Tamandua tetradactyla: one gene and its partner. The protein of the gene in region 1 purifies or fractionates together with the protein of each later gene. This does not show direct contact. Links are inferred from orthologs where the notes say so. Each region holds a gene or a part of one and is shown in the gene's direction. Other genes may lie near its edges.

Region 1 (7,937 bases):
TAAAGCATAAATTCTGATGAAGAAACTACAAAATTTTTACACATCATAATTTTTTTTGCTAATCTGGATTTTATGTCTGATTATTTTTAATGCAGGCCACTTTTCTGATATTGAAGTAACTGTGCATCCAATAATTAAATCCAGAATATTAAAGAAAAGAGTAATAAATGGAGGGTGAGTACTTTACATTTTATTGCCTTTCGATGGAAGCACATACCCAATTACACTACAGAATATAATCATGTAGAAATTAATAATTCTATTTGGCCCCATTCAACTCTGTATTTGTTAAACTCTTGTAAGGATACTAAATTATACATCTTGCTTCAAAAAAAAAGACTAGACTTCAGAGATATGCAAGTAGAATACAGAATTGCAAGAGGTTAAACATCTGCTAGGAAATTCAAAGGAGGGCGAAGTCATATCCAATTGGAAAGAAAAAGGGCATTTGGACAGAAAACAGAAGAAATGGGATATATGAGGAAAGGCATGGAGGTAAAAAGTTCAGTTAGACAGGAACATAGAACACACGCAGGGGAGTTGTGAGAGGTGGGAAAAAAGAAACAATAAGATTATCTTATAAAATTAAAACTAATAATAAAAACAACTACTATTTAATTAGTGCTCAAAGTGTGCTAAAATGTTCCTTTAGTTCTCATAAGGAACCAATAGATAGGTATTGTTATCCCCATTTTAAAAGTGAGTTAAATGAGGCACAGAAGAGTTAGGTTAGTAACTGGTGGATCTAGGATTTGAACATAGGCAATCTGCTTCCTCATGCTTCTTTAACCCCAGGCTAACGCTGCCTCCTATAATACTATGCTGAGATGTTTGTTCTTAATTCCATCGTCAATGTGGAATCAAAGAAGGCTTCTGACGAAAAGACTGACATATGAAATGGGAGAATATAGGATGGTTTGAAGGAGACCATAATAAGTAAACAAAGTTAAGAGACAATTGACATAGTTCAAGCTTATGTAATTAGACATAATTACAAGCCTAAATTAACTACATGTAAGATGTTAACCTGGATGATGTCAGAGGCCTCAGATAAAATTCTGGCTTTGCTGCCATTCGATTCTGGGGTCCTAGATAAGTCAATCAGCTTCTCCAAGCCTCTAGTTTGCAGGTGAAAATGGTCAAAGATGTTTGGTACTACCAATTTTCTATTTTTAATTAAATCCCACGAGTTATCTCAAGAAATAAATACAAAGTATCATTAAGTATGTCTTAATATACCGTTATATTGGCTCCTGTCAGGCGGTTGATGCGATGCATATGTTTACAAAACTCTGGACCATGCCCTTCCCGGTCCTTATCATTATTAGTGACAAATAAGTAAGCATGTATCATTTCATGCAAGAGGGTCTGAAACAGAAAACAAAAGAATTTGAAACGGCACTTTTAAAATAAAAATGTATATCTGCATTTTCTTATTCTACCTGGAGGTCTTAATTTTATCTGAATCACAGGCTCCTTTCAGAAACATAAAAGTCATGAACCATCTTGCCAGAAAAATTACATACACATACATTTACAAAACTTTGCAAATGATATCCAAAGCTCTGCAGAACACAGGTTAAGACTCTCTGTTCCAAAAAGGCCTTTTAAATTCTTAATCAAAATCCAGAATAAAAATCTGATGAACTCAACTACACAAAAACTTTAAAATTTCATATGGGGAAAAAAATCATAAGGAGAGTAAAAAAAACATATGTGTAACTGAGTCAGACTATTAATATCCTATTACATAAAGAGCTAAAGTCAAAAGGGAAATGACCAACAACCCAACTTTAAAATTGGCGAAGATCATGGATAGTTCACAGAAAAAGAAATATAAATGACACATAAATATCAAAAGATGTTCAAACTCATAAGAGAAATGCAAATTAATACTACTATAGGATACCATTTCTTGCTTATCAAGACTGATTAAAGCTACTAAAGTTTGACACTGTTAGTAATGCTATGGGAAAATAAACATTCCCATATATCACTGGTGGGAGTTCAAAATGCTACAACCCCTAAAAAGAACTTGGTAACATCTGACAAAATTTAAAATTCATGCATACTTTGGCCCAGTGATACCTAAATTGATATGAAAGATCATTTGTACAAGGTGTATTCATTTTGGCATTATTCATAATGACAAAAGACTGGATATATTCTAAGCGTTTAGAAAGCGGGGACTGGCTGACTGTACTATGGAATATCCACATCACAGAATTCTGTGTAGGTATAAAAAAGAAAGAAAATGATGGCTATGAAAAAGGCAAAGAATGTTAAGAGCGTACATAACACATTTTGTGTAAGTGTGCAGTGTGGCAGAGACAGGGAAGAAGTGAATATAAATATTTGCAAAACAGAACAAGGAAAAAATATGAAACTAGTACCAACAGTTCCCTATAGTGGGTGGGAAGGTCAAATTGGGAGGACGACAAGAGAACAAGATTTCTGTGTATAACTTACTAGAGTTCTGAACCACATAAAATGAATCACGTAAAATTTTAAAATAAAAAAACTCATTATGCATACCACTTCTTAATGAAAATCACAAAAGTCTTCAAAAGTGTAGCATTTTTATAATCCTCTTTTATTAAACAAAGAAGTTTCATCAGAAGAACTAGGCTGGCATTAATTTAATTAAATTTTTAGTCTTATAAAATTATGCTGAACAGAAAAATAGGAGAATCAAAGATTTTAAGTTGGTCATCATAAAAATATCTCTTTTTAAGTTATCAGTTGTCTCTCTCAAAACGAACTTGATTTTTCAAGTCACTCTATCAAGACCCATTCTACATTTCAAAAGTTTCTCAACTTTTCATAATAATGTTAAACAACTATTTCTATACTTTGTGCTGCTAGTTCAGTTAAGTGTCCTGGGATGACAACACTGTGGCAGTTGAATAAAATGTGCATGTCAAAGCAGGAAAACTTTGTTCCTAAGCTTTTTTTCCCTTGTGCTTCTAATTATGTAACTTAATCACTTAATTCTCTGAACTTTAATTTCCTCATTTATAAAAATGAGGATAACATACACTGAACATCAAAAGGATTGCTGTAAAGATCAAGTGGGATAATATATCTGAAAGCCTTTTATAGCTCTGAAGCACTATACAAAATATAAGGCAACTACTATTATTATTTAACCCACAGATAAAAATATAAAGGGAAGGGTGGGCCATGGTGGCTCAGCAGGCAGAGTTCTTGCCTGCCATGTCAGAGACCCAGGTTCGATTCCCAGTGACTGCCCATGCAAAAAAAAAAAAAAGAAAGAAAAAGTAAAGGGAGAAGTGATTTTTTAAAAATGCACAGTACTCTAAATCACTGTAAGCATATCTAAATTACTGAGCTAAAAATTGTATGGATGCAAAGATTACCTCTACAAGATCCTTTCGGGGTCTCAATTTTAAAAGGGGTTCACTGAGACGAATGGAACACATTCCACCTCTCCCTTCATAGCTGCATACCCCAGCACACCTGGAAAACAACCACAAAAATTTGTTACATCACTAAATGCACACCAAAAGGGAAACAGATGAAAGAGCAAATCCTTATACATTCCTGGGCAGCTCACACTAAGAAAATTCTACTGGCAGATGTCTTTCTTGAAAGTATACTCTCTTTGTTATGAGATATTTACACGTCACCCCAGCTAGGGAGATAAGTCAACAGAAATGGCTTCCCTACCCTAGCCAGGCTACAACTGGTCAAAGAAGATAATCCTGTTCATCTACTCCCAGTCTACTCCCTACAAGTTGTAATCAGCCGCTGGTGGTATTAGGCACACACCTACTCCAGTAGCACATCTCCAAAATTATAGTAGGTTATATGAAGGAGAGTTGTACTTTAAGCACAACTTGATATCATATCCTATCTGTAGGTTATGTTTGTTAACAATTCAAAAACATGCATGCTGATATGCAAACTGCATCATACACTTGTTAACCCCTTTCATGCGCAGGAATAGATGATTCTTTCAAATGTGGATTTCTCAATTCTTAAGTGCAGAAAGAAATCCTTTTATGGGCGCCACTGAAGATCCCCTGGGTCCAGATAAAGACAAATGTCAACTCCTTCTTCATTCTAACACATGCCATCACTACTTAGCGAAGGTATCTTACTGAGTAGAGAAGAGGATAACCCACAACACACACCCTTTGGAGGCTTCTGTGCTTCCTCAGCACTTTTAACTAGGGTCAGACTTTGGTTGTTCCCTCCTCCTAGATCCTAAAGCGCTACCATAAGACAAATCAGAAATATGTTCATTTATTATCAAGCGAAGTGAGTTTCAAAAAAAAAGTTCTTTTCTCTTATTTCCCTTATTGTGAGCCGTAACACAGCGTTGTTTGAGCGAGAGACTGGGCAAGAAAGGGACAAATACACTAAGGAGCTACTTGGTCCAGAACCAGACCCCCTCGATTAACGTGCCCCGAGACCATCAAGGCTGAGAAAGCAGAGTCCCAAGGCCCGAAGCAGCAGACCTCCGAGACCCGCCCACCCAGGGGCTCCTGACTCACAGGGTCATGCGCATGCTCCACTTCACCTCCACGGCCTCCAGTTGGCCCCAGAAGAAACGATCGTTGAACTGAACAAACAGGGCCTGCAAATCTGGGGTGGGGTCCACCAGCTCCCACGACGCGTCCACCAACGACAGGGGCTCCTGGGCCTTATCGCGCCCTGCGGTCTGCAAGTCCCATTCCTCCTGCAGCTGTAGCGCCAACACTAAGTCCTCGTCCATCGCTGCCCGGAACTCAAAGCACAAACCCGGGGGAAGCTGCTCCCAGACTCGGCGGCGAGTCACAAATGCTCGCAGGGCCCTAGTCGAACTCCTAGGAGATAGCGGCTCCCAGGCTGCTCTCGTGTTATCCCGCCACAATCGCGAGAATTCGGGGAAAACTGGCTTTAGAACGAGAACGAGAGTTAAGCTGGGACCAAACGTCGTAGCCAAGATTTGGGGGTTTTTTAAAAAAAACAACTAGCATGACACCTCCTACTTGGCGCAAAACTTGGATTTTCAGGGTTCGGCCCAGAGAAAGGTTTCAGGAAGCTGGTTTTGCCTTTCCAGTCCCCGGACTTGCCTCTAACTTCGAACATCTCACGTCACACAGACCTCCGCGCAGTACCTATATCCCTCCGCCTCCGCCCTCCACTCACTTCCGCAACAGCTGACTCGGCGCAGGCACCTCAACAGCTGGCTTTTCTGCGCAGGCGCACTGTCTGTGTGCCGCCACCACCACCCCCCCTTGCGCAGGCGCATTGTTTGGAGCTCAAACCCGGGCGCAGGCGCACACGTCTCGTTTCCGCCCGGCTTACGCAGCCCCGGGCCTCTGTCCGGATTGGGTGGGTCTTGATTGTGGTGTCGGCGGTGATAGTGACAGTGACTGCTTGAGACCCGAACGGAAATGGCCATGGCGATGTCGGACAGTGGGGCAAGCCGTTTGCGGCGGCAGCTGGAGTCAGGTGGCTTTGAGGCGAGTCTGTACGTGAAGCAACTCTCGCAGCAGTCGGACGGGGACCGGGACCTGCAGGAGCACCGGCAGCGCATCCAGGCGCTGGCAGAGGAGACGGCGCAGAACCTAAAGCGCAACGTATACCAGAACTACCGGCAATTCATCGAGACGGCCCGCGAGATCTCCTACTTGGAGAGCGAGATGTATCAACTTAGTCATCTGCTTACCGAGCAGAAGAGCAGCCTGGAGAGCATCCCGCTTACCCTGCTTCCCGCCGCCGCCGCCGCCGCGGTCGCTGGGGCCGCCTCGGCCTCCGGAGGGGAGGAGGGAGCAGGGGGGCCGGGCAGCCGAGACCACCTCCGAGGCCAGGCTGGCTTTTTTCCCACCCCGGGAGGCGCCTCCCGGGACGGTTCAAGTTTGGGTGAGGAAGGGAAGCAGCGCACGCTCACCACCCTGCTTGAGAAGGTGGAAGGCTGCCGGCACCTGCTGGAGACACCGGGCCAATACCTGGTGTACAACGGAGATCTGGTGGAATACGAGGCGGACCACATGGCCCAGCTGCAGCGAGTGCATGGCTTTCTCATGAACGACTGTTTGCTGGTGGCCACCTGGCTGCCGCAGCGGCGGGGAATGTATCGCTACAACGCTCTCTATCCCCTAGATGGCCTGGCTGTGGTCAATGTCAAGGATAACCCACCCATGAAGGACATGTTCAAGTTGCTCATGTTCCCCGAGAGCCGTATCTTTCAGGCGGAAAATGCTAAAATCAAGCGGGAGTGGCTGGAAGTGCTGGAGGAAACCAAGAGGGCCCTCAGTGAGAAAAGACGTAGGGAGCAAGAGGAGGCAGCGGCCCCTCGAGGGCCACCCCAAGTGACTTCCAAGGCCAGCAACCCATTTGAGGAGGATGAAGAAGAAGAACTAACTGTTCCGGAGGTAGAGGAAGAGAGGGTGGACCTCTCAGTGGAATGGATCCAGGAGTTACCTGAAGACCTGGATGTCTGTATTGCCCAGAGGGACTTCGAAGGGGCCGTTGATCTGCTGGATAAATTGAACCACTACCTGGAAGATAAGCCCAGTCCCCCGCCTGTAAAAGAACTAAGGGCCAAAGTGGATGAGCGCGTTCGTCAGCTCACGGAGGTATTAGTTTTTGAACTCTCTCCCGATCGTTCCCTGAGAGGTGGTCCCAAGGCTACTCGTAGGGCAGTTTCTCAACTAATCCGGCTTGGCCAGTGCACCAAGGCTTGTGAACTGTTTTTGAGAAACAGGGCAGCAGCTGTACATACTGCCATACGTCAGCTGCGCATCGAAGGTGCCACTTTACTCTATATTCATAAGCTATGCCATGTCTTCTTTAACAGCCTTCTTGAGACTGCAAGGGAGTTTGAGACAGATTTTGCAGGCACTGACAGTGGCTGCTGCTCCGCCTTTGTGGTCTGGGCACGGTCAGCCATGGGCATGTTTGTGGATGCTTTTAGCAAGCAAGTGTTTGATAGCAAAGAGAGCCTCTCAACAGCAGCTGAGTGTGTAAAGGTGGCTAAGGATCAGTGTCAGCTACTGGGTGATAAGGGACTAGACCTGACCTTCATCATCCATGCCCTTCTCGTGAAAGATATTCAAGGGGCCTTGCACAGTTACAAAGAAATCATAATCGAAGCCACTAAACATCGCAACTCTGAAGAGATGTGGAGGAGAATGAACTTGATGACTCCAGAGGCCCTGGGTAAACTCAAAGAAGAGATGAAAAGTTGTGGGGTAAGTAATTTTGAGCAGTACACTGGGGATGACTGTTGGGTGAACCTAAGTTACACCGTGGTTGCTTTCACCAAACAGACCATGGGTTTTCTGGAAGAGGCGCTGAAGCTGTACTTCCCAGAGCTGCACATGGTCCTTTTGGAGAGTCTGGTGGAAATTATTTTGGTTGCCGTCCAGCATGTGGATTATAGTCTTCGGTGTGAGCAGGATCCAGAGAAGAAGGCCTTTATCAGGCAGAATGCATCCTTCCTGTATGAAACTGTCCTCCCTGTAGTGGAGAAAAGGTTTGAAGAAGGTGTGGGGAAACCAGCCAAGCAACTCCAAGACCTGAGGAATGCATCCAGACTCATCCGTGTGAATCCCGAAAGTACAACATCAGTAGTCTGATGCTTGGATCTGTTTATACATATGTATATAACTTACTTGTGTATTATTTATATTTATATTACGTTACATTAGCATATCTTTATTGGCCTCAACATAGCTTAAAAATTGATGTTCTCTCAGAAATACCAAATCAAAAGAAAAAAAGAAGTTAAGCAAAAATAACAAAAACAATGGAATTATTAAAACATAAAATATTCTTTCCTTTTAAAATATGCTAATTCTCTATGGCCACACTATAGTATTTCACGTTATCCTTTGAATCAACATACACTTTCTCACAGTATATGTTATGTAACACAGAGAAATAATATCTGTAAATACATAGAGTTTAAAGTATATTGTGAA
Region 2 (7,361 bases), on another chromosome or scaffold:
AATTGCTGAACTGAGCAAAAAAGTTAAGATTTTGAAGGTGTAAATACCAGGGGCTTTTTTCTTGGTAGCTGCCTCCAAAAGGCTGGAAGGAAAGGAGCTTGGGGGAAATCACCCAGGCTTCGTGGGAGGATTCCAAAAGTGTTGGACCCTTCCCTGGGGTCCTGGGGGAGAACTCAGGAGTTTGAACCTTTTCTCAAGGAGGAATAATTCAATGCATCCTAGTAATATGTGGCTGTCCCCTATCTAATTCCCCTGGGGTTTGAGCAACTGGACGAGGCAAATGTCTAGGAAGAAGTGGGCCCACTTAGAGTTGTCCTTACTAAGGATTCCTGCCCCTGAATGAGTCCCTGCAACCCCTTCCTGAGACAGGATTAGACAACCAGAAGTTGGGAGAGAACACCTGGGCACAGAATAGAGAAGACTGAAGTGCTGAAAGTGAACTCCATTTACTTTTACGGCTTAGATTTTTCCTATAACCTTCAGTAGGCAGGAATGACTCCACCCCCCACCCCACCCCCATAGACTGGCAGCCCCTTTTCCTTTCTAAGGTGGTTACCTTAGTCAAATGCCCATGGGGGCTGCTGGAGTGTGTCAGACTCTTTATAATAATACCCTCTATTTATATAATACTGCTGGCTTGCGGAAACGAGTCTCTCCTGGGGGCTGAGACTCCAGGAAACTGTTCAGCTGTCCCTCTTCACACACTCCTTGTTTCTGCCTGGCTTCCAAGCACTCATCTCCCTGAGGCCAAAGCATTCCTGGGGATCCAGTCTTCAAACCGTGCCTCTGGCTCCTCTGGGATTTGCAGGAGGGCTCTTCTGGTTTAGCCTCCAGCTTTCTTGCTCCCCTGCTCCAGTGGTCTCCTGTTACCTGAGGGCAGATTACCTTGGCTAGCCTCTGGCCCCCATGTTACCTGGACCTATGGCAGAAGTTCTCACATTGGTCTGCACCCCCCGCCCCCAGCCCTGTCTCCACACAATAGCCAGAGTGATTTTTTTTGGGGGGGGGGGGCAGCGGGGAGAGTGTGTGCATGGGCTGGGACTTGAACCTGGTCTCCCGCAGGGCACAGAACGATCTTCTTAAAACTGCAAGCAGTTACCTTCCTGGCTTGAACCTTCTCGGCAACTTCCTGCCACACTTGGGATCACTTCGGATGCCTAGAGGAAGGACTAGGCATCTGGCTCCTGCTTCCAGCTCCCCAGGCCTCACTGCACTCCATACAGCCCCTTGTGTCCCCAGGGGTACCAAGCCTCTTCTGCCTTGGGGCTTTGCACCCCTCATTCCTCTGCCTCCCCTCACCCCTACCTCTGCAAGACTGACTCCTCCTCATCCTTAGGTCACAGACTAAATGCCAACAAAAGAGAACTTTTTTGGCCACTCTATCTAAAATAATTTGCAATTACACAGTGGATAATTGTTGAGTGGCCATAGCTGATAAGCTACTGGCTTATTATCTGTTCTCTTGACTGAGCCATTCACCTCCCTGTCCCCAGCTCCAGGCTTGGCACACCGTATGGCCTAGCAGCGGTCAGAGCAGGCTAAGCTATGCTGTGTAACAAACAGCTTCCAAATCATAGTGTTCCAAACCACAATGATTTCTCATTTCAGTTGTAACAAATGTGCCACACCAATGCAAGCTGTTAATAAGAGGGAGTTAACAGATGTGGCCTCTCTCTCCAGCCAACACAACAAAGAACTCACTACCTCCCCCTGTCTATGTGGGACATGACTCCCAGGGGTACGGATCTTCCTGCAACGTGGGACAGAAATCCCAGAATGAGCTGAGATTCAGCATCAAGTGATTGAGAAAAACTCTAGAATGAGCTGAGACTCAGCATCAAGGGATTGAGAAAACCTTCTGGACCAAAAGGGGGAAGAGTGAAATGAGACAAAGTGTCAATGGCTGAGAGATTTCAAACAGAGTCGAGAGGTTATCCTGGAGGTTATTCTTACACATTAAGTAGATATCACCCTATCATCCAAGATGTAATGGAGAGGTTGGAGGGAACTGCCTGAAAATGTGGAGCTGTGTTCCTGTAGCCATGTTTCTTAATGATGATTGTATGATATAGCTTTCACAATGTGACTGTGTGATTGTGAAAACCTTGTGTCTGATGCTCCTTTTATCTACCTTGTCAACAGATGATTAGACCATATGTAATAAAAATAAATAATAGGGGGAACAAATGTTAAAATAAATTTAGCTTGAAATGCTAATGATCAATGAAAGGGAGCGGTAAAACGTATGGTATGCAAATTTCTTTTTTGTTTTCGTTTTATTTTTGTTATCTTTTTATTTCTTTTTCTGAATTGATGCAAACGTTCTAAGAAATTATCATGATGATGAATATGCAACTATGTGATATTGTGAATTACTGATTATATATGTAGAATGGAATACACATATATTAAGAATGTTTGTGTTTCTTTTCCATAATTTTTTTAAATAAAAAATTAAAAAAACAAACAACAACAAAAAAGAGGGAGTTAAATGGGAACCCTGTATTGTATGCATGATTTTTCTGTAACCCCTCAAGTTCCATAATAATAAAAAAGATTTACTTCTCATGCTAATGCCCACCACAGCTTGGCAGGGGTCTCTGTCCATTGTAGGCACCCAGGCTGATGGAGCAGCCACCCTCTCAAACATTCTCAGTGGCTGTACAGAGAAAAATTGAACTGGCAATCACATTCTCCAGCCCAGAAATGATTAATGTGTCACTTTGGCTCACAACTTATTGGTTGGACTCAGTCACAGGGCCCCATCCAACCACACAGGGTGCTCCTATGGGTTGGATGGAGCTGCCCAGTATTCAGGATGGTAAAGTGGAAATACGTGGCAAGTAGCACTGAAGATCAGCACAGTACTTAATAAATACTCTTGGAGGAGAGAAGATCTAGAGTGTTTTCTGCACAGCTGCTAAAGGGTAGGAAGACCTCCCAGGCTCCTGCCATTTGGGCCCCTGCTCTGCCAGGAGTCAGTGTTCCAGCAGACAAGAGCATCTCCTGGCAATCCCAGAGGTAGCTGAGCCCCGTGGCCTACCAGTGTTCTCCCTCTGGCAGGACACATTTCTGGGCTGATGTCCTCTGTGAGACAGCTCCTTCAAAAGGGTTGTGCCACTCCTCTCTGAATCTGCTACAGCCAGTTAAGGGCGTGTCCTGTCCCAAGAGCTGAATACAGCAGGTCCTTACACTAGGCCTTCCCCCCGGCTGCACGGAGCATGTACATTTGTAATGACGGTGCTGTATAGTCCCAGGTACAGCAGGGCCTTGGGAGGAAACACCATCCCAGGGTGGGTTCTGACACACTGGGGTGTACAAAGGGGCCTCTGGTGGAAGCATCCTTCAAGCTCACATTCCCTGAGCACTCCCCCGGTTCCCAGCACTGTACCCAGAGCCTTACTTGCAATTTCTTTTAAATCTTCACCCCTATCAGTAAAGTATGGCCACGTCTGGGCAGTTGGGGAGACTGAGGTCCAGAGAGGTTAGGCAACTTCCTAATTACCTTCTAGTTATAAGGCACAGCTGTCCTTTGAATCTATGCTTCCCGACTCCAACCCTATACACTTAATTATATTCCTGCATAGAAAAAGACATGATTCCCCCTCCAGAGATACTCCTCTTGAGAAGCTGCCTAACCCTTCTCTCTTACAGTACCTGGCAGATTTCTGTCAATAAATCTAGTCTTTAACTGAATGAGAAGATAAAAAGAATACTCAAGATGTAGATAAAATAGTCAGATATTTTTCTGGTTGTATGTTTTTGTTAAACCCATTACTTCAGATGAAGGTAAAGCTTCTGAACTTTTTGACATGGATGTTGGTGGAGGAACAGATGCGTTAGTTCCTTGAGCCTGGGACTCCAATCAAGCCACACAGCCTCTAACATAATACCTATGTATCTTAATGTGTATCAACAATGAAAGGATGAATTAATTTAATTTATAGGCAGACACCGTGCTAACTGCTGTGGATAAAAAATTGGATAGGAGATAGTTCCCATTCTTAAGAGATTACAGAGACTGACATTTAATCAAAACACTGACATCCAGGGTGACACGCCAAGGAGGCTTAAGGTGCAATGGGCCACAAAACCAGCGGAGGTGACGGCGGAAGGAGGTGACTCTAGGAAGGGGCAGTTAGTTCCGCAAGTCAACCCGAGGAGAAGCCCTATTTGGACAGAAAATGACAAGTTCCGGGGTTTCAGAGGGCGGGGCCGGGTTGTGGGAGAAAACCTGTGTGTCAAGTGTTCGCCCACCGCACTTCCTGCCTCCAGACCGAGAGCAAGGTGAGGGCGCCGGTGCCGGGTGTGACTCGGCCGAGGAGCTCCGCCACTGCTAATGGGATGCCATTAGTCGAGTGCGTCGTGGCGGCAAGTAGGGTTCCGCCCCAGGGGCCCTCAGCCGGCGTCTCAACTGCCTCCCACACCCACCCCACCCCGCGTGCCAGCACACCTTGCCGCTCCGTAATTTGCCTTGGTTTCCATTTATAGGTTCCCTTTTGGTGGCAAAGACGCCAGCCGCGCCCGGGGGCAGACCCCAAGCTTCACCGCCCCGCACCAGTTCATGCACCCCTGCTGCGGCAACGGTCACGTGCCTAGGAAGGCAATGGGGTGGGCGGGGCCGGCGCGCTGAGACCGCCCCCCCCCCCCCCCCCCCCCGCTTGAGGCGCCTTCTCATTGGCGCAGCCTTCTGTCCCCGCCCGCTGCCAGTCACGTCCGTTTCGGGTTGGCTGATGGTTTCTGACGGGCGTGGCCTGCGGAGGGGAGGGCGGGAACGGAAGGGACGGCGCGCTCTCGAGAGGAGGGGTTGCCTAGGCGACGTCGGGGGCGCGCTTGGGGGGTGGGGAAGCGAGCCGGGTCTGCTTCATGACAAATCGGCGGGAGACGGCTGGAGTCCGGCCCCGGGAGGAGGCGACGGGTGGGGCGGGGCGGGCCTGAGGGCGGCGGGCCGGGTGCGGACGGGCGAGGCGGCGCGGGACGTTCCCAGGTGAGGGCGCGCAGCCCGGTAGGGCCCCTCGGGCGGGGCGGGGCGGGGGCCGGGGAAGTGGGGCGCGGGGCCTCCTGCCCCCGCGCTGTCCGCGCGGAGCTGGGCCCGGCGGTGGCCGGCGGCGGAGGGCGACGCCCGGGCACGGGGTCTCTCGGAGAGGCCGCGGCCTCCAGCCCAACCTGGGGCGGAGGAGACGGGGCAGTGGCCCAGCCGCTCCCTTCGTGCGGCTCCTTCCCTTTTCCCACTAATGGCCTCGGTTTCCACTTCCTGCCCGGTCCGGGCTCCCGCTTCCTCTGCCTCTTAGTTGCCGCTGCGGGTAGGGAGTTGCAAAAACTTATTACTACCTTAGGGACTTGTATTGCGGTGAACTGGCGTCGTATTCCGAAAGTTTTGCCTCAATTTTGGTTCTGTCTTGGAAATGAATGTACAGTTGCCTTCTTCCCACTCCCACTATCCTCTTTGATAGGTGCGAGCAAAGAATGTTGCTTCTTATGGGGAATACCATGGACCTGGCTGTTTCCCGGGGCCAGGCATCAACTTCAATGTTTCTGCCTCCTTACAGATTATAAGGTAGTCCGTGGCGGTTCAGAGCTGCCCATCGCCGGGATAGCTCAGCTCACATTGTATGTCCCCTCTGTGCTAATTTTCAGGTGATTATTGGAAATGTTGGGACTTGAATGTTATCAGGTAAAGTTATCAGGTGAGAAGTTCCTGGTGTCCAGGGGGAGACTTCGCTGATTGCTTGAGTTGATATCAGTGACTTGACCTCAAGCATGTGGAACAGTGGACTTTCTGCTTTGTGCTAGTTTCCTAACCTCCTTTCCTTTTGTGAAACTTTGGGGATGGATAGTGGGCACCAATTATCAGGGGAGAATATGTCTTTTAGATGCATTAACGACGGATGTTCTAAAGCAGAGCATTGAGATCCTTGAGTGTCAAAGCTTGGAACAGAGGAAAGCAGCATTCCATAAAGCTGAAGAAATGGAATGAGAATATGGAAGTTCTGAGATGGGGTGGCCAGGAAAGGTAGCATGGAATAGTGGGAGGAAGAGGAGTGCTGGATTTGAAGACCTAGGTTCCCCGCTTGTTCTGCTAGTGGTGTGATCTTGAGCATGGGTTTTCTTTCACCCCTCTGAGCTCTGGATTCCATGGTGATAATGGTTATACCTTTGCCACCTAATTGCTGGGATAGATCAATGAAAGTTCTATTTAAATCAAGGTAAGGACTGTTTAAATCGCTCTTTGTGGCATTGGGTGGGAAGAAGCCTGGGAAAGGGACATCATTGTGATGTTTCCTTATGAGCTATTTTAATCCTGTCAGCTAGCCTCCTTTCTTCCGACTGCATGTGGCCTTTTCTTTCCTTTTCTGGTCACCTTATTTCCTGCTGGAAACAGTGGGTACTCTTGCCTTCGATTTCAGCAAGACTTCTCTATGCCTGAGGAATCAGACCTTTCCCCAGGATTTTGTGTGGAAAAGTGTGGGTATAGGATATAAGATTTCTTTTTGGAATGTGGGATCTAGACATATAAAGACAGAAAACACGAATTAGAACTTTCAGTGGTATCTGAAGAGGTCTTGGTAATAGGTGGAAGAAATGATAAAAGTTCTAAAGTTCCGCTTTTTATTAGATTCTTACCTTGCCTAAACATGGCTTGAGACTCCATGAAATGTGTTATGGGTTGAATTGTGTTCCCCCCCCCCCCAAAAAAAAAGATGGGCTGGAGTTTTAACTTCCAGTACCTCAGACTATGACCTCATTTGGAAATAGAGTCATTGCAGATGTATGTAGTTAGTTACATCGAGGTCATACTGGAGTGGCATGGGCTCTTAATTCAATATGGTTGGTGTCCTTATAAGAAGAGAGGAGTCAAAGAGATAGACACAGAGGAGAACACAGTATGAAGAGAGCCACAGAGGGAAGATGGCCATGTTAGGACAGGCGGAGAATGGAGTGATGTGTCTATAAGCCAAGACACCCCCTGGGGCCACCAGCAGCCAGGTGGGAGGCATGGGACACATTCTTCCCTAGAGATTTCAACGGGGGCATGACCTTGCTGACGCCTTGATTCTGGGCTTCTAGGGTCCAGAACGGTGAGAAATAGATCTCTGTGATTTTAAGTCACCCAGTTAGTGGGTACTTTGTTATGGGAGTCCTAGAAAGTTAATACAAAAAAGTAATTTGTTTCTAAAATCTCAGAGTTGAGATCATCCTTTGTACTACATCACTCAATTCTACTAGACCTCTTTGCTTTCAGCTCCTAAATTCTTACCTCCTCATCTAATTTATGGAAGTTGGAAACATCATTGGTGTGCTTGCCTGTAAAGCTGGTTTTGGAGACATTGTAACGACCTAGAACTCAGTGTCTGAAGAGA

What was found. The genes of interacting proteins can lie anywhere in the genome.
Region 2: the proteins of EXOC8 (region 1) and RALB purify together in Homo sapiens (affinity purification with western blotting; 6 studies listed by BioGRID and IntAct, counting the BioPlex papers as one, with this or other methods). This does not show direct contact. The link is inferred for Tamandua tetradactyla from reciprocal best matches to the Homo sapiens genes EXOC8 and RALB.

Annotation. Positions count from the first base shown.
Region 1 is NC_135333.1:1,008,852-1,016,788, reverse strand, and holds the start of EXOC8 (exocyst complex component 8), read left to right. Parts: upstream 1-4,890; 5' UTR 4,891-5,405; coding exon 5,406-7,592; 3' UTR 7,593-7,937. Other genes in the region: DNA-dependent metalloprotease SPRTN, read right to left, coding at 1,240-1,368, 3,381-3,480, 4,521-4,741. UniProt on the Homo sapiens protein: Component of the exocyst complex involved in the docking of exocytic vesicles with fusion sites on the plasma membrane.
Region 2 is NC_135329.1:93,271,747-93,279,107, reverse strand, and holds the start of RALB (ras-related protein Ral-B), read left to right. Parts: upstream 1-4,289; 5' UTR 4,290-4,375; intron 4,376-4,834; exon of another isoform or gene 4,835-4,987; intron 4,988-7,361. UniProt on the Homo sapiens protein: Multifunctional GTPase involved in a variety of cellular processes including gene expression, cell migration, cell proliferation, oncogenic transformation and membrane trafficking.